4 linked regions of the Rattus norvegicus genome follow. The protein of the gene in region 1 purifies or fractionates together with the protein of each later gene. This does not show direct contact. Links are inferred from orthologs where the notes say so. Each region holds a gene or a part of one and is shown on either strand. Other genes may lie near its edges.

What was found.
Region 2: the proteins of Rprd1b (region 1) and Gpn1 purify together in Homo sapiens (affinity purification with mass spectrometry; 3 studies listed by BioGRID and IntAct, counting the BioPlex papers as one, with this or other methods). This does not show direct contact. The link is inferred for Rattus norvegicus from reciprocal best matches to the Homo sapiens genes RPRD1B and GPN1.
Region 3: the proteins of Rprd1b (region 1) and Polr2g purify together in Homo sapiens (affinity purification with mass spectrometry; 3 studies listed by BioGRID and IntAct, counting the BioPlex papers as one, with this or other methods). This does not show direct contact. The link is inferred for Rattus norvegicus from reciprocal best matches to the Homo sapiens genes RPRD1B and POLR2G.
Region 4: the proteins of Rprd1b (region 1) and Rprd2 purify together in Homo sapiens (affinity purification with mass spectrometry; 4 studies listed by BioGRID and IntAct, counting the BioPlex papers as one, with this or other methods). This does not show direct contact. The link is inferred for Rattus norvegicus from reciprocal best matches to the Homo sapiens genes RPRD1B and RPRD2.

What each region holds. Positions count from the first base shown.
Region 1 is NC_086021.1:167,100,911-167,106,371, reverse strand, and holds the start of Rprd1b (regulation of nuclear pre-mRNA domain-containing protein 1B), read right to left. Parts: upstream 3,464-5,461; 5' UTR 3,100-3,463; coding exon 2,949-3,099; intron 1-2,948. UniProt on the Homo sapiens protein: Interacts with phosphorylated C-terminal heptapeptide repeat domain (CTD) of the largest RNA polymerase II subunit POLR2A, and participates in dephosphorylation of the CTD by RPAP2. Transcriptional regulator which enhances expression of CCND1.
Region 2 is NC_086024.1:30,681,851-30,687,391, reverse strand, and holds the start of Gpn1 (GPN-loop GTPase 1), read left to right. Parts: upstream 1-2,380; 5' UTR 2,381-2,397; coding exon 2,398-2,508; intron 2,509-3,104; coding exon 3,105-3,198; intron 3,199-5,002; coding exon 5,003-5,042; intron 5,043-5,541. UniProt on the Homo sapiens protein: Small GTPase required for proper nuclear import of RNA polymerase II (RNAPII). May act at an RNAP assembly step prior to nuclear import.
Region 3 is NC_086019.1:215,118,485-215,123,814, reverse strand, and holds the start of Polr2g (DNA-directed RNA polymerase II subunit RPB7), read left to right. Parts: upstream 1-2,158; 5' UTR 2,159-2,232; coding exon 2,233-2,244; intron 2,245-2,356; exon of another isoform or gene 2,357-2,359; coding exon 2,360-2,469; exon of another isoform or gene 2,470-3,074; coding exon 3,075-3,234; exon of another isoform or gene 3,235-4,240; coding exon 4,241-4,291; exon of another isoform or gene 4,292-4,399; coding exon 4,400-4,465; exon of another isoform or gene 4,466-4,548; coding exon 4,549-4,620; exon of another isoform or gene 4,621-5,004; coding exon 5,005-5,038; coding exon of another isoform or gene 5,039-5,115; exon of another isoform or gene 5,116-5,252; coding exon 5,253-5,266; 3' UTR 5,267-5,330. UniProt on the Homo sapiens protein: Core component of RNA polymerase II (Pol II), a DNA-dependent RNA polymerase which synthesizes mRNA precursors and many functional non-coding RNAs using the four ribonucleoside triphosphates as substrates.
Region 4 is NC_086020.1:186,053,808-186,059,190, reverse strand, and holds the start of Rprd2 (regulation of nuclear pre-mRNA domain containing 2), read left to right. Parts: upstream 1-2,247; 5' UTR 2,248-2,850; coding exon 2,851-3,055; intron 3,056-4,978; exon of another isoform or gene 4,979-5,059; intron 5,060-5,383.

The sequences.
Region 1 (5,461 bases):
GGGGTTGGGGGTTTAGCTCAGTGGTAGAGCGCTTGCCTAGGAAGCTCAAGGCCCTGGGTTCAGTCCCCAGCTCCGAAAAAAAGAACCAAAAAAAAACCAAAAAAACAAAAAAAAAACCCACTCAGGGTAAGCTAACTCGCAAGGGGCTAGTCATTTTCAGTGTCAGAGTACAAAACCCTTTTCTATTTTAATATAGGGGTACTATCAGTTTACAAGGGAAGCTGGACAGGAGATGAATACGCATTTCAGAGCTTGAGTAAGAACTCTAGTTCTGCGAGATTCAATCTGGTAGCCATCAGCCATGGTGGCCAGTCACCACTTAATTGAGATAATAAAACTGGATCTTCAATTATATTTATTCTTTGTCATCATTTTAAATGTCCAATAGCCACATGTAGATAGTGACTGAGGACAGGTTATTTCTCTGCTGGTGAAATGAGTCAGTTTAAGCCAGATGAGAATATATTAAAGGCTGGTTTATTGGAAAGCCGCTGTCCAGTGGACAAATTCACTGGCCCCAAGGAAGGCTGTGGAAGTCGCTATGGATGCAGGGGGTGTGGAGAAAGGGTGCTCAAGCTGAGAGAAGAGGAGAAAGAAACTAAAATGTCTGGATTAATCGGGAAGAGCCTCTAGGGGAAGGGCAGACCAGACCCTGGGCTGGAAAGTTCAGGGTTGGGGGCAGGGTATGCCAGGTAGGGACTAAGGGATGCTGGGAGAATCTGGAAGCCAGGTCTGCTTTGATATGTAAAATATGCATCTCAGTCCCTTGTCCCAGGTCCAAAGCCAAATCGCCCAAGAGCAGCTTCCCAATTTAATCTGGCTTGAATTGGTTTGTTTCACCAGAAATAACCTATGAGCTGCCTTGTGGAGAACAGAGGCACAGAACAGCAATTGCCACAGATAGTTAAACCAGTGCCAATAAGGTCCTTCCTCTACTCAAACCTGAAAACATCAGAGGGACAACCACACTACTAAACTAACTGTTACTTCACGACAGATAAACAAACCTAGAGAGATGTAACTACACTGAGGTAAGGCAAGTGGTGGGATGGGACGGCAGAGAATACAGTGGAGGAAAACTCCTCCAATAAACACCATTAAAGCACCAGGAACTTGAAAAAGCATTAAGTCTGGTATCAGTCCTCCCTGGGTCCAATCCCAGTTTAGACCTCTGGACAAGCCACATCTTGCTGCATCTTTATCTACTGTGAAATGGGGATAAGAACGCCAGCCTACTTGCTATGTAAGGCCCATGAGATAAGATTATTGATAAAGGAGCCTCTCTAAATGGCTATTTTTCAGGAACTCAAATAGGGTAAGGTGAGGAACTAACAAAGAAGGCTTCACAAAAGAAGTCTGGGATGGGCTAACAATTTCAAGATGATCAAGAGACTCTGCTGAAGGGAATTCAACTAAGGTCACCGATAGTTTTCTCATGTCTCCACATGCTGCAGCTACGCTCTACCTAGCTGCCCCAGAGGGCTGAAGGGATTCCTATGTCAGTAGAGCAAACCATAACTGGGAGGCTCTGCAAGAAACCTAGAGTGCAGTCTCCTGAATAAACCTGGAGTTTGCTGCCTGCCATGCGTCTTCTTCAGTTCGAAGACTTTGACTAAACCATTCTCCACTTCGGTTTCCTCATCTACAACAGAGGGCAGAGACGCTCATAAAGTTACTTCCACTAAGCTTCGACTCTTCAGTCTTCTGCTAAGGAACCCAGCACAGTGTGAGTTAGCACTGTACCTACCTGCTGCTCCACACCAGGATGTAGCAAGCTGAAGGCAAAGACCAAGCTGTACACTGGGCATTCAACAGTCTTAACTTAGCACTTCTACTGAAAACCTGCACTGTGCCCACAGCACACTAAAATGCTTACTGGATTATCCTGGCTTCTTACCAGAATCTGCTTTGTTGAGCCCTGTGTTTTCCCCATCTGTAAAATTCCTACTTCAAAAGGCCTCAAGAATTAAAAAACAAAACAAAAAACCAAAAAAGAACAACAAAAGAACCACCCAGTATAGTGGCACAAGCTACTAATCCCAGCATTTGGGAGGCAGAAGCAGGTCTGAGTTGGAGGCCAGCCTGGTCTACATAGGGAGTTCCAGGCCAGTAAAGGCTAAATAGTAAGGTTCTGTACTGAAGCAAAAACAAAAGCAACCTGCATAAAGACAGTGGCACATGATAAAGCCATAGTAACATAAACTACCATCCTCTCCGTTTTCTATATAAGGAAACATAAAGGACATAAAGGTTAAGCTGTTAGGATAAGTGACAAAGACAGGCTTAACTTCCAGACAGTGACCAGAAACAACCTGCATCTAACACAGGGCCTGGCAAGAAACAGGTAGAGCTCTGTGAATGTCAGATTCTCAGAGTCTGAATTTAGTGCAGAAAGCTACCCAATTTACCGGCCTGTTCTGAAGTCTATGGATAGTAACTAACATGGGGTCAAGGCTTTGTAAGGACAGGTAAGTTTGTGTCAGTTTTACAGATTAGAATACACAGGCACAGGGATATGAAGAAACGTTCCCAGTATCACTTAGTTAGAACACGTTTGGGCCAGGTCTCAATGTAGGCAGTCTGACCAGAGACGGCTGGATCTTATTCCAAATGCCCAATACTAGGCTCCCAGCTCCAAGCACAGCCACGATTTAAAACAAAATAAAACAAAAAACAATTGTCGTAAAGTGTGAAGGGGAGCCTGAAGAGGAAAGCAGCTTAATAACTTCAAGTCTGGGCATTTGCACCCTTGGAACCTCAGACGAATATCACATGCCTTACTGGGCCTCAGTTTCCCTCTCCAAGAAATAAAATATCAGTTTCCAATCTCAGAACCTCAATCAGAGACCCAGGCCTGCAAAGCAAGGCTTAATTAAGAAACTAGAGGGGTGTGGGAAAGTGGATGAGAGTGCACACCCATGGGAGAGCCCAGGGGTGGGGGTGATCACCTTTGCGGAGCTCGCGGTGCCACACGGAGACGATGGGTCCTGCGTGCTTGCGGTGGTGGATGAGCCACAGGGATAGGGTCTGCACACTCTGCTGAGAGTTGCTCAGCTCTGAGAGCTTCTTTTCCAACGCCGACTCTGAGAAGGAGGACATGGTGGCGGTGGTAAGGAACGGCCTGGGCCGCCCGATGAGTCGGGGAAAGCGACCGCACTCAGCCCAGGCCTCCGCTGACAGGCTGCACGGCTCTCCGCCGACTGACAGACAGCTAGGGGTACCAGGTGGGGGGAGGGGACAGGTCTCCGCAGTAACAGCCGCCCGCGCCGCCGCCACAAGATGGCCACCCGACCTCTCACCCCGCCGCCACGGGGTCAAAGGGCAAGGGCCACCGCCGGGCGCCGAGAGGTTCGCAGCCGGAGGAAAACGACCCTTAGGAGGCAGCACTCTCCTTGGGCCTTGTTGAGAGGACTTCGAACCGAACAGGCCGAGAGAACAAATCCAGGTCCTCGAACACCGAAAAGCGCTTTAACCACTCGCGCCCGCGCGCCGGCGCAGTGAGCCTCACCGGAACCCTTTTTCCCGCTCCCGCAGAACCTTTCTGGCGCGGCGCGACGCACTACTTTTTCGTCATTTCCGTCTAGGGTGCTGGAGGCGGGAGAGTGGGGGAAAGACTGGAAGACGAGGTAAGAGTGGCGGGAGTGTGAGGGAGCTCAGCCGTTTAGGAGCGTCCAGAAGCGAATCCTTAGGGGACACTGAGGCAGGAAGCGCGGGACCTGGGTGTGGGAAGAGCTGCGTCGCTGCTGGCTCGCTTAAGCCACACCTCCCTCCGTGCTTGATCCCTCCCCCCCTTCCCGCGCTCCTCTAGTTCTATTAAAGACACGAACCCTTTGCAGGCCCCCCCAGCTTGGTTCCTGTTCTGTCTTCAGAAGTGATGCCCCTTTTCTCACCTGATGGAACTGCGCCGTCTACTGGCCTCGACTGAAAACCCCCTTTTTTGAGGGGTGTAATGACTTAAAGAGTAATAGTGCTTGTTATGCAAGAATCAGGATATCTGAGTTCCCATCATTAACTAGCCCAAGTTGGTGGCCTGGTCTGTAACTTCAGTACTCTGGGACTGAGACAGGAAGATCGCTGGAGCTTGCTAGATGCCTGCTTAACTCCAGGTTCAGTGAAAGACTCAGTCTCAAAAGAATAAGCTGGAAAGTGGTTGAGCGGGACACCTGACATCTCTCTGTGCGCTCACCCCCCCCAAGACACACACCTACAACTTTCCTGACCATTGTTGAACTTCTTAGATGTGGGCCCCTCCTATAGACATTCCTATAGTTGATGCCTGGTTTTCTTCACTTCTCTGTTCCTAATATAAGTGCTTTGACCCTTCACCCTTCACATCATGATCATAGATAGTCTAGTGAGAACATTTCTGTGTGCTAGACACTTTTCAAAGCTTTGAAGTAGGTATTATTTTCTCACGCTTTAACAGTCGAGGAAACAGAAGGTTACAGAGGTGTGGAGTTCCCAAGCTCACATAGCTAAGATCTGAATGAAGAGACTGTATCTCAGTGTTTCCCAGCATCTGGGATCAGAGCTGAGTTCATAGCCGATTGAGTGAATTAATGCACAAGTCAACACCTTGTAATGATATATGTATGATGGTGCACACCTTTAATTCTAACTCTTGGGAGGCAGAGGCAGGTGGGTTTCTGAGAGTTCCAGGCCAGCCTGGTCTGTGTAGTAAATTCCAGACCAGCTTTTAAGACCCTGCCTTTAAAAAAACAGGTGTGGGGGTGTGTGTGTCTGGGGGGCCTAGGGCTTTTGAGACCGCATCTAAACAGTTGCTGAGTACTGAGTAACTGTCATGTTCTGAGTACCCTTCCTTGTACTGAGTCTATGTATCCAGCATGTTACTATTTCTAAATTCCAGTCCTTAACAACGATGCTCTGGCGTGGGAACCGTTTGGTAATGAGAACACATGACTGGGAGTGAGTAACCTATCCAGAGCTGCTCAGGCATAGCCAGGAAATGGCAAAACTAGAATTCAGTTAAGGTCTCCTGATCCCAAATTCTTCACGTATTACCCAAAGGTTCCTTCATAATTTCTGAGCATCTGTGTCTGAAGCACTGTTCTGGGCAAACAGACAAGCTGTCCCTGTCCTTGGAAGCTTGCCTTCTAGAGAAGAGAAAAAAATGGGCATGCAAGTATAAAATGAATCAAAAGGTGATTTGTATAAAAATCCAGGAAGCCAAGTGGGTAGAGAATGCATGGGCTTGAGAAAATATAAGTTGGTCACATAGGAGTATATTCTGTATGCTATATGCCCTTCCCAGAGGGTAAAGTAACATTTGGTTGCTTGCCAACGCTGTCTTTCCAGGTAGTGAGAAAACCAACTTCAAACCTTTGTTTGCAATTTTGAGGACTTGAAAAGATGGTTTTACCAGAGTGATAGAAATCAGAAGGGTAGTTAGACATAAAGCCAGAAGAGTATGGAGGGACCGTGTCACATGGGCACAAATAGG
Region 2 (5,541 bases), on another chromosome or scaffold:
GCTCATATTAATATCAACAACCTACATGTATCCAAAACGTGGCCTCCTGGTTGTAGTGTTCTACTGAATTTTTACAAGATCAAACAGTGTGGTCAACATAATCTATATTATGTCCTCTGATCACTTTCCTTTGAAGGAAAAGAAAAAGGAGTCCTGAAAAGGCAGAGGGTGGGGTATGGTTCAGGTACCACACATATCTCCCTCACCTCAAATTACTCCTGACCTGCGGGGACTGACCCTGAACTTGGCTATCTCACTGCTTCGCTTTCTGAGCGATGGGAGTACAGGTGTTCTATAAAAGACCTTAAAACAAATGATCCTCAGGTTCCAGCTTCTCCTGCTACCCAAATCTATTTAAAACAAAACTAAACAAACCAGCCATGTGCCTTCTTTTATTTCCAACGTAACAGGTGGGGTTTCTCTTGCTCTTGGAAAATGATTGATAGTCATTTCTGCTGAGACAGTAGGAATTTCAAACCTTGCTCTTTCTTCTCTTCTTCCTCCTTCCCTTCTTCTTTTCTTCCCTCTCCCTTTCCTTCTTCTCCTTCTGAGAGGATATTAAAGGTCATCAGAGAATCTCCCCACACAAAACTTCAACTGGCCATATTGCTGATGCCACAGCCAGGAGATGGGTCAATAATTACAGGTGTTCACATCCAAGCTTTCCAACTTGAGTTCGATCCCTGGGGCCCACATGGTGGGGAGTCCTGAGTTCCACAAGTTGTCCTCTAACGTATACACAAACTATGGTATGCAGGCCTACATACATGCACGCTCACACACGTAACTGTAACTAAAAAAGACACCAAATTTAAATGTCATCACGGTTAAACTAACTGAACTGCTAGAAGGTAACACAAGCCAGACAGTGCTGCCCAGAGAGGGCCTGAGTCAGGTAAGATCAATCACTATCCATTTGGTGGTATTTTAAGAAGATGTTGTTCGAGTTGGGGATTTAGCTCAGTGGTAGAGTGCCTGCCTAGCAAGCGCAAGGCCCTGGGTTCGGTCCTCAGCTCCGAAAAAAAAAGAAAAAAAGAAAAAGAAGACGTTGTTCACTGATCCTGGAGCTGATTACTTTGGCTAAGCTAGCTGGCCACTGAGCTGCTGGGTTTCTCCGGTCTCTAGTTCTTCAGCACTGGAATTATAGCCACAATCTACCATGCCTGGGCTTTCATGTGAGTGCTGGGGTCTGAACTCTGGCCCTTACGTTTGCGCAGCAAGCACTTTACCAACTAGTCCTCTCGACAGCCTGCACACTTCATTATAAAATGAGATATGTATAGATATAGACAACCTTTTTGTTCTTCAACAGTTTTATCCATTCTCCAAGAATGTCATCAAAACCCAGGGCCACCCTTGACCTACAACCCTAACCCTTTATCTCACTCTTAAAGGGGACTTTTTAGAAGCCTTCTGGGGGCTGGGGATTTAGCTCAGTGGTAGAGCGCTAACTCCGAAAAAAAGAACCAAAAAAAAAAAAAAAAAAAAAAAAAAAAAAAAAAGAAGCCTTCTGGTTCCTTGGGCCTTTGGTTCACCATCTAGTCTTTTCTTTTTCCCTTGGACGAATGGCCATACGGGTGAGCAAATAAGACTTTGGTTACAGTCTCTGTCATACGGTCCTTTCCTCATGAGATTCTTCCACCCTTCCTCTACCCATAACCTCCGGTATTACTCAGCTACACTTGAGCCACAAACACCCTTCGGTTCTTTAATTCCCCTTTGCATTTGGTGATGAGGTTTCTTCCTCTGTTATTTAAAATACAGTATTCATGCTATCTTTCTTTTTTTTTTTTTTTTTTCTTTTTTTTTTTTTTCAGAGCTGGGGACCCAACCCAGGGCCTTGCGCTTCCTAGGCAAGCGCTCTACCACTGAGCTAAATCCCCAACCCCTCATGCTATCTTTCAAGTGTTACGTTAATTTTTACTTAATATTTTCTTGAACGAAATGACGCTTAAAGTTTTTTTTTTCCTTCTTAGCCAATAAAATAAAGGGTGGAACGCCACCTTAGTCCGTTAACCTTAGGATCTTAACAGATCCTGGCTTGGGATCCCACGTCATTACGCCCCTGGGAACTTTGCCGTTCCCGGGTCCTACCTTACCCTTATCAACCCTTTCTGGTTCCCTATACTCCTGGTCACTAGTCCAAAGCCATTATTGGCACCTACAGTACAGCATCTATAGTCCCTGTAAGTCGGATGCTTAGAAGCCAGTCTGGTGCCCAAAGCGCGGTTTGGCTATTCCGGCCAATTGCAGCTCTAAACTCAGAGAGGCCGGATCGTCCGACCAATCGTAGCCCTATACGCAAGAGGGCGGATTTTTCTACCAATCACAGCCCTTAATGCAGCGAGTCCGCAGCCCGCAGGCCCATCTGTGAGTGGTGGGCGTGGCTGAGGAAAGATGGCGGCGCCCGCGGCTCCTGCCGAGCCCCAGGCTTCCGGGGCTCCGGAGCTCCCCGTGTGTCTGTTGGTGTTGGGAATGGCGGGATCCGGGAAAACTACCTTTGTACAGGTGACGTGCACTGTGTGGAGGCTGTAATGGCGCCTCAGGCCCGAGAGGAAGTTGTCTGGGGAATTGGAGGGTCTGGGCGCGTGGTTTTCTGGGGGCTGGCCTCTGACTCCAGGTCCTTCCCGAAGCCTCGAACCCTAGCCTGGGTCACTTGAGGCAGTCTCCTGCGTAGCCTTAGTGTATGCTTGGTACAGCTGAAATAGTCTTGCTGAGAATTGGCAGCTCTCCGAAGACCCAGGCAGGGGGAGGTAATGCCAGCATCACTGGTTTTGCGTGAAGAGTCGTGAAAGAATCACTTCGTTTGACCTATCATGTTCTAAGCTCTTGAGTATACAGCGGCAATGATATCGACATGGTTCTTGCTTTCACGGAGTGAATGTCTTAGTAGAGGAGACAGAGAAGGAAAAGAGGGTCAAAGTTAGCGAAGACGTGATGGAGGGTAGAGATCAGGTACTGGAACTAGATGGCTTTTAAACTGAGAGTTTAGTGTTGAGGGAAGAAGGAGATTGTTATAAGAATAGTCAGAAAGGAATGGGAATTCTCTGGGCCCTTTCCTGTCCTTTGGTCATCAAACTTCGACCCTGCCGCCGTTTTTGCAGAGGCTCACAGGACACCTGCACAACAAAGGCTGTCCACCATATGTAATCAATCTGGACCCGGCTGTGCATGAAGTCCCTTTTCCCGCCAATATTGGTGAGTGCCTTCTTTAACTAACTATCTGCTTTTCTGTGGATTTGCCTGAGTTCCAGAACATGCTTCTTGCTTATTCAGATTTATCTCTCTCTTATGTATCATTCTCATTTACCCCCTCTCTTTGTCCTCAGTGCCACCTGACACATGAATCGTTTAGTTTCTTTTGTCAGAGTTTATGAGTTCTGCTATAATTCACTCTGATCTGTAGAAAGGTTCCTTCCATTTCCAAAGTTATGGGTGTGTGTGTGTGTGTGTGTGTGTGTGTAAAAATATGCGTTGTTGGGGTTGGGGATTTAGCTCAGTGGTAGAGCGCTTGCCTAGCAAGAGCAAGGCCCTAGCAAGGCCCTGGGTTCGGTCCCCAGCTCCGAAAAAAAGAAAAAAAAAAATATGCGTTGTTTTGAGGAGAGTGTTCTGCTTGAGACTATCAGAAAGATTTAGTATTGGTGTGATCCAAGGAAGCCTGAGGCAGAATATTGAGAGTTGAGTCAGTCCAACTTACATAGCTAAACCTTGTTTGGAAAAGAAAAAGTGGGGGTGAGGGGTAGATTTATTATGAAAGTGCCTGTAATCCACTGACAGGGCTCTTGGGGGTCCAGAGCCTGATTCCCAGGTCTCTTGCTAATCCTATTAAGCTTCTTATACCCCATATACAAATTAGGAGGTGGAAATCTTGTTTAAGAATCATAGATTAGTCGGTCCCCAGCTCCGAAAAAAAGAACCAAAAAAAAAAAAAAAAAAAAAAAAAGAATCATAGATTAGGCCAGGCAGTAGTGGCTCACGCCTTTAATCCCAGCACTCAGGAGGAAGCCACATGCAGATCTCTGAGTTACAAGCCGGCTTTTTCTATAGAGAGAGTTCTAAGACAGCCTGGGCTATACAGAGAAACCCTGTGTTGATAAACAAACAAGAACAACAACAACAACAAAAATCATTGATCATTTTGGAAAGATTGGGCAACAAGTTTTCTATTTAAACTAAAGGATAAAAATGTAATATTGTTCATCTAGTGTCTAGGGGGTAGGTTTGTTTTTATTTACTTTCATTTTATATGTATGGGTGTATCTGGTTCCTGCAGAGGCCAGAAGAGGGATGCAGAACCCCTGGAACTGGATCTACAGATAGTTATGAGCTGCCATGTGGGTGCCGGGAACTAAATCTGGGTCCTCTGTAAGAACTTCAAGTGCTCTTAATCTTTGAGCATCTCTCTAGCCCTGGCAGATAGGAGGTGGTAGATCTGAATAGACAGTTTTATTGTTCCTATGTCTACGAATTGCCTTCATTACCATGCAGCGGCTAGTAAGTTTTCTTTTCTTGTTTTTATTTGTTCATTGGTTTTCCTGTGCATGTGCCCACTACCATTGAAATTGTCTAAAACTTGTAATCTTATTTTAGTCTATCATAACTAAGAGCTTCTGACCTTTTGTTTGTTTATTTGTTTGTTTGAGACAGGGTCTCTCTGTGTAGTCTTGGCTGTCCTGGAATTACTCTAGATTAGGCCAGTATTGAACTCAGAGGTCCATCTGCCTCTGTCTCCCGAGCCCAAGGATTAAAGGTGTGTGCCACCAGGCCCAGGAGTCTAACATCCTTCATAGGATACTTGGCAGTTATCCCTAGTCAGGAAGAAAGTGTAGAGGAGGGTATAAGCAAATGCTGGTAAGATATGGTGACACTTCTGTATAGCCTCAGACTCGGAAGGCTGAGGTAGGAGAACAGCTTGGGTTACTTGGGAGGTTCAAAGTCAGTCCCAACAAATGAGGTCATGCTTCAAAAAATAAAGGCAACCATTCTCTCTCTTTCCCCTCAGATATTCGAGACACAGTGAAGTACAAAGAAGTCATGAAGCAGTATCCTTTTTCTCGTCAGCAGTCATGGTGAACTGCTGCCTTTCATTGCTTTGGGGGAGAGGTTTTACCTGTCAGATTGGGACAATACAAGCAAACTCACTTCATTTTCAGTAATCATATTAAGAGGACATAAGATGAACAAGATGAGTGTAGGAGAGATCAGAGATTTCAATAATACTTCCATTTTCTTAACATAACTCGGATAGCCGAGAAGATGCATGGCCAGCTGTTGACTGCCTGGGCCTGGGGAAGTGATATTGCCTTGGGTCATACAGTCATCGGTTAAAAAGTTACTCACAGGAATTTAGACCAGAAAACTTTTTTTTTAAGATTTATTTATTACAAGTGCAATAAGTACACTGTAGCTGTCTTCAGACACACCAGAAGAGGGCATCAGATCCTGTTACAGATGGTTGTGAGCCACCATGTGGTTGCTGGGATTTGAACTCAGGACCTCTGAAAGAGCAATCACTGCTCTTAACCACTGAGCCATCTCTCC
Region 3 (5,330 bases), on another chromosome or scaffold:
GTCAGGAGAGTAAATATGAATCAGTGACACTGCCTAGCAGAGACAGCCAGGCCTCAACCTCCACACGAGTCAGGAGGACAAGTTCTAGGGCTGTGGTTCTCTCAGGGAAGAGACCACCAGGCTTGACGCCCACAAGCAGTGCATAGCTGGCTCTATAAGCAAGCCTAGCTCAGCATCCATCACTGTCCATGGAGTCCTATTTATACTCTCTCCAAACACCACGTGTCCTCCACAGGTCTTGCCTCAGCACGTGCATCTGTCTCAGTTGACATCACTCTGCCAATCAGCCTGAGTCCGTGGAAGCAGCAAGAAACTGCAGCACACTACCGAAAGACTTTTGGTGCGTTTCTCTCTATGGAGTCCTGACAAGTGGAGCTCAGCTGTGCAGTATTAGGCAGACCAATGCATGCATGCCATTCGCAAAGAATCCTTCACCGCATGTCTTTTCACGTGCTTGCTTTAGCAGAACAGCCTTGCTCCTGTGTCTGCTTCAGCTAAATGTTCCTTCATGAGTCTGCTTCGTCTTTCTCCTGTGTCCACTTCAGGAACACACCCCTTCATGTGTTTGCCCCAGCAAAACAGCATCTGACAATCCCTAAATTTCCACTTTGCCCAGGACTTCAACAGCAAAGGCAAGAGAATTGTTAAAAGTTCAAGGCAGGGGTTGAGGATTTAGCTCAGTGGTAGAGCGCTTGCCTAGCAAGCGCATGGCCCTGGGTTAGGTCCTCAGCTCCAGGGGAAAAAAAAGTTCAGGGCAAGCTTACTCTACAAAGCAAATCTCAGGTCATCCATGGTCACATAATAAAACCGTCCCTCAAATAGAAAAGAAAGTAAGCCCAGTGCGTGCCCACATAAGTAATCTTTTTGCTTGTTGTCTTTTTGTTTTGTTTAACAAGACACTTTCATTTTTTTTTTCCGGAGCTGGGGACCGAACCCAGGGCCTTGCACTTGCTAGGCAAGCGCTCTACCGCTGAGCTAAATCCCCAACCCCGACACCTTCATTTTTAATGTATCCCTGGCTGTTCTGGAACTCATGCTGTAGACCAGGTTGGCCTTGAACTTGAAGACCCACCTGCCTTTTGTTCCTGAATATTGGGATTTAAGGCGTGTGCCACACTTCCAAGTGACTTCTTCTTAATTAGGTGTACTCAATGATGTCTGTTATCTGTATGTGAGTACAAGCCCACAAGTGCTGGTACCTCCTGAGGCAATGAGAAAGTTTCAGATCCCCTTCGAGCTGGAGTTGTGAGACCTCGGGTGCAGTGTTAGTAATTGAACTCAGGTCCTCTTCGAGAGCTTTATTTTTATTTTATGTGTAAAAACCTTTATTTTTATTTTATATGTATGAATGTTCTGGCTGTATCTATGCCTGTTCACCACAAGGGAGAAGTGTCCATGGAGGCCCCAGATGGCACTGGATCCCCTAGGATTGAAATATAGCTAGTTGAGTTACCATGTTTGTTCTAGGAATCAAACCTGGATCCTTCGGAGGAGCAACCATTGATTTTAACTGTTGAGCAATCTCCCCAACTACCTCATCTTTATTTTTATTTTACAAGCATCGGTGTTCTGCCTGCATTATGTCTGTGTACCACTAGCATGCAGTGCTGAATGAAGCCAGAAGAGGGTGTCAGTTCTCTCTGAACTGTAGTTACAGATAAGATTGTGAGCTATCCTGTGGGGGCTGGCAAGTGCTCTTAAGGACTGAGCTAATTCTTCAGCCCCTAAAATAAAATTTAAAAAACAATTTTTTTTTCTCTTTTTCGGAGCTGGGGACCGAACCCAGGGCCTTGCGGTTGCTAGGCAAGCGCTCTACCTCTGAGCCAAATCCCCAACCCCAAAAACAAATTTTTTTATAGGGTTTGTATACACAGTCTTGGTTATCCTGGAACTCACTTTGTAGATGTGGCTTAGCCTTGAATTTAGAGATCTGTCTGCCACGGCTGGGTTTAAAGGCATGTGGCGACAAGCCAGACCTCTTAACCTTTTTTTTTTTTTTTTTTTTTTTTTTTTAAGGTTTTTCGAGACCGGGTTTTTCTGTGTAATCCTGGCTGTGCTGATGAGCGCTGATGGGAAGGCCTGAGGGGCGGGGCTTCACGTTTCCCCGCCCATGGCGTTAAGACTCAAATCTGCGGAAGCGACTGCGGAGACTTGGTGGGACTTCTGCTAGTGCTTCCGGCGAGGTCCCTTCCTGGGGAGTTCTGGCCTCTGCGGTCCAAGCTTCTGCAGAAGATGTTTTATCATGTGAGCTGGACGCGGGGTAGCGGTGAGGGCAGGGACAGGAGGAGCCTGGAGGGCCGACGGGTCGCCTCCTGTTCTCAGTGTGGCTGGCGGAGTCTTCATCTTCCTTTCTCTGCAGATTTCCCTGGAGCACGAGATCCTACTGCACCCACGCTACTTTGGTCCCAACTTGCTCAACACGGTGAAGCAGAAGCTGTTCACCGAGGTGGAGGGGACCTGCACTGGGAAGTAAGTGTCTGATTCACAGTGTCGTCTGCTGAATGCAGGCACAATAACGCTACTCTGTAACCTCTACTTCACTCCTTCAGTCAGGGCTTGTTACTTACTCTGAGGAACTCTTTCACCACTCCAGGCATCCGAAGCAGCCAGTTTTTGCCTATTTTGGGCCTTCTAAAAGGTTGCTAAACCAAATTTTCTTCGCTTATGCGAGATCAGACCGTTATTATGCAAATGTTTTGGGTTTCGAGATGGCCTCACTATGTGGACCAAGCTGGCCTCTAATTCAGAGAACTGCCTGCCACTGAGTGCTGGGATTAAAGGTTTTCGTCACAATTTTCTGTCTGATTTGTGGTTTTCGAAAGACCTGTCTCACCACTGACCTGGCAAGTCCTGGTACTGAGAGAATAGGTGTATGTCAGCATATCTGTGCCTTCTTGGGCATTTACTGTACAATTGTGAGAGCACCATTTAATATTTCAGGTGCTAATCTGAGTTCTGTCTCTTCTTGGTCATCGAGCTGTTCGAGCAGAGGTTCCATCACACGCAGACTATTGCTGGTGGCTTTTTAGAGGCTCTTCACATACAGTAGCTGTCTTTTTTCATCTTTCCTGCAGATATGGCTTTGTGATTGCTGTCACTACCATCGACAATATTGGTGCTGGTGTGATCCAGCCGGGCCGAGGTTTTGTTCTTTATCCAGTGAAATACAAAGCTATTGTTTTCCGGCCCTTTAAAGGGGAAGTGGTGGATGCTGTGGTCACTCAGGTCAACAAGGTAAGAGTATTATTTATAGAAAGGTTATGGGGTTGGGGATTTGGCTCAGTGGTAGAGCGCTTGCCTAGGAAGTGCAAGGTCCTGGGTTCGGTCCTCAGCTCCGAAAAAAAAGAAGAAAAAAAAAAAAAAAAAAAAGAAAGGTTACGGGGTATTTCCTAAGGTGAGAGTTCAATTCCCAGTCCACTTATTAGTTGCCTTAAGCCTTTTGTGGTTGTCAAGATTTATTTTATTTTATCTTAGTTTTGGGTTTTCTTTTCTTTTTTTTTTTTTTTTTTTTAAGGTTTGTTTGTTTATTTTTATTTATATGAGTACACTGTTGTCTTCAGACACATCAGAAGAGGGCATCAGATCCCATTACAGATGATTATGAGCCACTATGTGATTGCTGAGAATTGAACTCATGATCATTGGAAGAGCAATCAGTGCTCTTAACCGCTGAGCCATCTCTCTAGCCCCTGATTTATTTATTATACACACTCCTCTGTAGCTCTCTTCAGACACACCAGAAGAGGGCATCAGATCTCATTACAGATGGTTGTGAGCCACCATGTGGTTGCTGGGAATTGAACTCAGGACCCATGGAAGAGCAGTCAGTGCTCTTAACCACTGAGCTATCTCTCTAGCCTCAGAAATTAAGTTTCTTAAAGGCTAAGGGGTCTATAGCTCAGTGGTTTAGAGCACCTACTGGTTCTATAAGACCTGGGTTTGACTCCCAGCACCCAGCCAATGGCTCACAATAATCTGTAACTCCTAATTCTGCAGGGTCCCAATACCCTCTCCTGGCTTCCATGGGCACTGCAGGTACATGGTGCACAGGCACATGTGAGGTCAGAATATTCTTACACATAAAAATAATGAAGAACAAAAATGTAAAGAAATGAAAGATTACACAGAGAGAAATTAAAACAAATGCTACAATTTAAACTGTTAAGAAACATGAATAATGTGCCTAGAAATCAGGTAAAGATGCTTCAGAGCGTTTGAAGCACGGTCATTTTCCTTCTAGGTTGGACTTTTCACAGAAATTGGGCCCATGTCCTGCTTCATCTCTCGACACGTGAGTCTGGGCGTGTGGGGTGAGGCCGAGGAGGAGAAACCAGCCCCTGACTCTCATCCTTTGATGCAGCTATTTGAAATGCTAACCTTTGTGTCAATTTCCTTCTAGTCCATCCCTTCAGAGATGGAGTTTGATCCAAATTCGAACCCCCCTTGTTACAAGACCATGGATGAGGTGAGCGAATGAGGAGGAGTTGGTGAGAGGGATGAGGACCAGGCCTGAGTCTGCTTGATGACCCTGCTCTCTCCTTTCCACAGGACATTGTAATTCAGCAGGACGATGAGATACGCTTGAAGATTGTAGGGACACGTGTAGACAAGAATGACATTGTGAGTCTCTTGCTTGACTGGCCTGCCTTAGCCTCCTGGGTAGTAGGATTATAAATAATCCAAAGTCATCATTCACAGCTGACAGCTGTGGGTTTCTCGTTTCTTTTGTAGAACATATTTATGTGGATGTGTGGGCATACACACTCGCCACAGTGTGACATTTAGACCGCCTTCAGGTCATCGCATGCTGCTGTGGATTTTGGGGGTGGAGGTCAGGTCATCAGGGTTGGAGCAAGCTCTTTCCCCATCTGCGCTGTTGACCTCTTGCCATCCACAGTTGTTGGGGGCTCTGTGCTCTGTGTCCATGAGCAGGGAATAGATGACAGAAGGCTCGGAATGGGGTGGGGCCCCACCTCACCATCCTTTCTCCCTTTCCTCTCGCAGTTTGCTATTGGCTCTCTGATGGATGACTACTTGGGTGAGTGCCTGACATGGGTGCTGGGACCATTCCCTGGAGAAAGGATGTGCTGGAGAGGGGATGGCTGTAGGATTTAAATGCCAGTCAGAGATATAAGTTCTCATTCTGTTCCCTTGGAAATCCAAGATACCTTGTCTTTGGTGGTGGGAAATCTTTGGTTTTTGGCTGCCTGGGAACTCAGTGTCTAACTGATATTTTTTTCCTGATTTCACAGGACTTGTGAGCTGAGTGAGGGAGCCTCCAGCTTGCTTTGATCCTGATTTAGAAAGTGTGACTTTCCAACTTGAACTCA
Region 4 (5,383 bases), on another chromosome or scaffold:
AAATGGAATCACATGTTAAAGGCTCATGTGACCAAGTGAAACTTGTTTATTTTGATCTCCCAAGAAACCAGGAAAGAGGTAATAGTCATCTCGGAGCAGGCCAGTTTCAGCTGGCATGATAAGGAAGTCCTGCTTTTAACCTTTGGAACGAAAATAACTTGAAAACAATCTGCTTTTAGTTGTTTCTTCTTTCCTCAGCCCTTTTCTATCTGTAATGCCAAACTTCCGTAAAAGGAGAAGTTGCCTGATTCTAGGATCATTAAGGTCTTTATAACTCTTGTAAATTTTTTTTCTTTTTTTTCTTTTTTTCTTTTCTTTTTTTCGGAGCTGGGGACCGAACCCAGGGCCTTGCGCTTGCTAGGCAAGCGCTCTACCACTGAGCTAAATGCCCAACCCCAAATTTTTTCTTTTTAAGAAAGCCAAAGTTGATCTTCCAGTCCACTGTTTGACAAACCATTGTAGGCTCTCCTACAATATAGCCTCTAACTAAAGTACCTGTCTCGAACCCCTGGCAACAGGACTATTCACCTTTATTCCAAGGTTAGGAAAACACCTAAATCTGCATGGGTGCCCAGGCAGACTTCGAGGGGTTCCTGCTGTGAGACCCAAAGTCCTTGTGAGATTGTCAAAGAAAAAGAAGCACGCCAGCAGGGCCTATGGTGGCTCCATGTGTGCCCAGTGTGACCGTGACAGGATCAAGCTGGCTTTCCTTATTGAGGAGCAGAAAGTCATTGTGTAAGTGTTGAAGGCAAAAGCACAGAGTCAGAAAGCAAAATAAATATACAACTTTTTTAAGAAATAAAAATCAAAGCTTGGATGAAAGAAAGAGAGCCCAAAGTCAGGCGGGCATGGTGGCAGGCTTTTAATCTCAGCACTTAGGACCGAGGCAGGTAGACAGGATCTCGAGCTGGACACCAGACTCTACAGAGCAAGTTTCAAGACATCCAGGGCTACACAGAGAAACCTTACCTCAAAAGAAACAAAAAAGAAACAGTGGCTTTCAATTCCCTACACGTGCCCTCTTTGCTTCTGACCTCTTCTGCCTCTTGTCTTAGTGGCTTTCTCAGTATCTTCTAGTCACAGTGGCTTCCTTGTTCTTCCTCTAAAACGTTAACAGTCCTGGGTTAGGGAATCAGCACTTGTTCTTTTGCCAGCTCTTCTCCCCTACCCATTTGTGCTTGGTTGCTTTTTCCTCAAGTATCTCTTGTTAAAAACTGGTCACATCATTGTTATTCATATCCCCCGTCCTTCTCCCTTAGCTTATTTCGTACCTCTTTAGGACTCCTTACTCCTTGACACATACTTGTGGTTTGGTCCTGATGCCAAATCAAGTTGGAGGAATTTTTGTCTGCTTTGCCATCATTTCCCTAATCCTAAAACAGTTCTTGGCACAGAGAGGTTAATTCTAAATGATGAAACAGGGTTCTTGCCTCAAAAATCTCTCTTCTGTTGAGTTGGCCTAATTAAAATGAAATTGCTGGGTTCAGTAGGAATACACGAACATCCAAATTTCCCCAAAAGATTCACACAGGCAGATCAGATGTAATGGTTAAACTGAGGCTATCCTAATAAATCCAATACTCAAGACTCTTGTAAACTATAACGCATTACGAAATTGTGATGTTACAACTGTGCAAAGAAGCCACATCTTGTCAATTACTCTTTCCTCGCTTCTATAAGTTTTTAACTCTTAGAGAAAATTTCGTTTTTCTTATTCCCGCTTTCTAGAATGCAGACGGTCGGCTGGCTGTGAATGGTGTCATCGAAGTCGGATGTATAGCAGGAGTCTAGGAGTGCATAGAGAACGGCTACTGGATCTGACGCATGCGCACCTTCTACCATGCCGCAAGATGGGTGCCAGCCATTTTGTCGCGCGTAGGTCCCCGATTGCGGGTGGTAGGGAATGCAGCTGTCAGAAACAGTGGCCCCAGAAGGATGGGCATTTCTCTGCCTAGTGTGAGCTAAAGGCCCCAAGTGAGTAACCCCACCATGAAGCCAAAAGCAGTGCCGAGCACCGAACGCGGGCTATTAACGTCGTAGGTTCGCCAGCTCCTTCATCCTGCCTTCCCAGGTTTTCCTCCCAACCCGCTACGCGAACAACTAACGCGCAGGCGCACAAATAAACGTAGCGCCTCCTCCGCGTTTGGGGCCGGAGGACTCTTGCGCGCGCTTCTCCGACCCCTCCCTTGATTGGTCAGATTGCAGCGCCAACCCGCCTCTCCCAGCGCTCGGAAGCAGAGGGGCGGGGCTTCCGTGCGCGTGCGCATTGCTTTTTTGCTGGTCCATTGCTGCTATTGCGTTGCCAAAAAAAAAAAAAAAAAAAAAAAAATTCTGACTAGGTAGCTTTGGGCCTTTTCTGTGGTAGAGAATCTAAAGGAAAAGCTTTCTGCAACCGAAGGGACAGCCGGGTAGTATTACGGTATTACGTTTTCGGTACTAAGGCCTCCCTGGCTCACCGGAGTTTGGGCAACGGGATGAGGGAAGGGCCTTGAGAGTTGAGAGGACCGTAGAGGATAAAACCATTAGTTTTCGGCGCTGGGCATTTTGAAAGGCGTCGCAGGTCCTGTTTTCTACGTAGTTCTCTCCCGACTACTGGTTTAAACACCACCCCCGAACCATACTGACAAACCTTCGCAACTCGCAGCCCCTCCTTGCAGCGTGTGGGAGCCGCCAGCGTGCCCAGCAGCTACCCTTCCTACCTCCAGAAGAGCCTAGCGCGTGCACCATCCCCACCCCCTGGCCTCCCTCCCCTCCTGCTGCTTTCACGCACTCGCAGTGATTGTTTTGCCCGCTCCCGCCGCCGCCGCCGCCGCCGCCAGAGGACCAGCGGCGCTTGTGCAAACCGGGAAGATGGCGGCCGGCGGCGGCGGAGGCAGCAGTAAGGCCTCCTCCTCGTCGGCCTCGTCCGCAGGGGCCCTGGAGTCCTCGTTGGATCGAAAATTCCAGTCGGTGACCAACACCATGGAATCCATTCAAGGCTTGTCGTCCTGGTGTATAGAAAATAAGAAACACCACAGTACAATCGTCTACCATTGGATGAAGTGGCTCCGGAGATGTGAGTGTGGGGGCGATTGGGAAGGGGGAGGCTGGGGAAATGGAGGAAATGCGGCCCAAAACACTCTGGGGTTTGCCCACGGAGCCGCTGCATTCAGTTGGGGTTCACATTAAAGATCCGACACGAGTGTTCCCAAGCCCAGACTCCAACCTAGGCACGGTTGCTCTGATCTGCAGGGGGCTCATTGCTTGGAATTTTTCAGCTTCACATTTGGCGTGACCTTGGGCCGTTGGGCCTAGACCCATAGAGATTTACGTGTTTCCTTTCCGAGCCCTGTGAGGTGTGTTGTTGATTATCCTGAACCTTCACGGAAATTGTCGCGTCCGTTTATTTCTTACAGGCCTTGACGTGTTAATGATCTCTGGGTTTCCTGTTGGTTAGTCAAGCTATGGTTTAAGCTGTCCACTTCCCTGGAATATGTTGGACCATTCAGTGTTTTCCGCCGACGTGAAACTTGTGATATTATAGAAAGGGGCCTTCTTTTGATTACTGTGTGTGAAACTTGGCATGTGTTTTAAGGAGGATTTCCCTGGATGAATGTGAAGCAGTATGAGCTCTACAGAGCTGTGAGGCGACCACCTGTTTTCCTTTTACCTGTGTTTGTAACAGTAAAATACAGACTAGTGATACGGACGATACAACTCCGAGACTGTAATCATCATTAGTACTGGAGCATAAAATATATCCGGCCACTTTTTAATCGCCTGAAGTATATTTTACAGAATTGAGTTTGTTTGCATAGGCAATCAAAATGGGAAATGTGGATTTTAAAATATTATTTGTTTTAGCGTATAACCCACCTCCCAAGTTGTACTTTTTTGCCTTCAACCTGTGGGGTTCGCCCCGCACTACTTTACTATAGAAAAGAGGTCTTCTAAAAATATGATTGTTAAACTGGGCGTGGTGGCTCATGTGATTCCAGAAGCTGAGGCAGGAGGATTACTGCAAGTTTGAGGCCAGCTTGTTCTACACAGTAAATTTCAAGCAGTCATAAAGCGAACTCATACGTATTTATTTGAGTTTTAGTTTGCATCTTACCTATATGGCCTCTTGCCAGTGGCACTCATTTACCAGTTTCTTATCCCACATTGTTTTTGCTTCTATAATATTTTTGAGTTTACTTGTTAGTGAACAAGTGGGTAAAACTTCAAAATTATAGGCTCCAAATTTGAAATCTTTTGTATTTAAAGTTATTGATGGGACAGTTGTTCTGTGGTTCTTTGAAATACAGTGCTGAGAAGGATATTTGAGAGAAAAGACGGGATTAGCTAGTCCTTCTTTACTGTTGTCAGATCTTTTTGTTTACTTCTTGCCAAGAGATTATACTAGAATCTGCAATATCTGTCATCTCCGAAGACTCACATATATGTATCTGCCACATGCCAAGCATTTCTGTATACCTTATAATATATCTCATAGTCCACTGAATTACACAGGAGGAAACTAGGGCTCAGAAATGTCAGGTGGCTAAAGGTTACTCAGTAAAATGATGTAGGTTGGATTGGACTCTTATCATTAACTTTGTGGAACAGTGTTTGGTGTAATGGGTGCATCAGTGTAGTAAGCGATGCGAGTGTGTGGAAGAGGACATTTCCCACCCTGTTTTAAATCATTTTACCGAGTTATGAAGCATTTTCCATTGCCTACTGTTGGTCTCTAGTGCTTTAACCCTATGTTACATATTTTCAAGAATAAGTTGGTCCCTAGCTCTGTGTGTAGGATCACAAGTGAAAATTATACTTTTTTCTAGTCAAGAATAATGAGAAATGCAAGGACCAGAATTTTTCCTGTCTCTGTGGTTTTGTGCCTGAGTTTATTTCCTTTGTTGGTTCTAAGAGTAGGAGGGCAGTATTTTATTTGAAAAGTGGATTCTACATAATTTAAATGAAATGACAAGCATTTGGCTTTTTAAAATCTGTCAGTTTCGGGGTTGGGGATTTAGCTCAGTGGTAGAGCGCTTGCCTAGGAAGCACGAGGCCCTGGGTTCGGTCCCCAGCTCCGAAAAAAAAGAACCAAAAAAAAAAAAAATCTGTCAGTTTCAAAGAGGGGTGGAACTTAAACTTTATAAAATGGCTAAGAATAATTTGTGGACATTTATATTTACAGGTGATAAATAAAGCCAGGCTGGTAAAGGCTAGGACACAAATGGTTGATGTGTTAGGCCAGTGTTTTCACCTAATTTTTAGACCTTCACAGAGTTGCTAAGTTTGCTTAGGCAAAATTGTGAGGTGGCTCTCATGCATTCCCAGTGTTTCTGTCCACTTCCCTGATGAGACTCTTGCTTCTCCCTTTTCTTATGACAACAGGTATGTAGTCATGTAGCCCTCA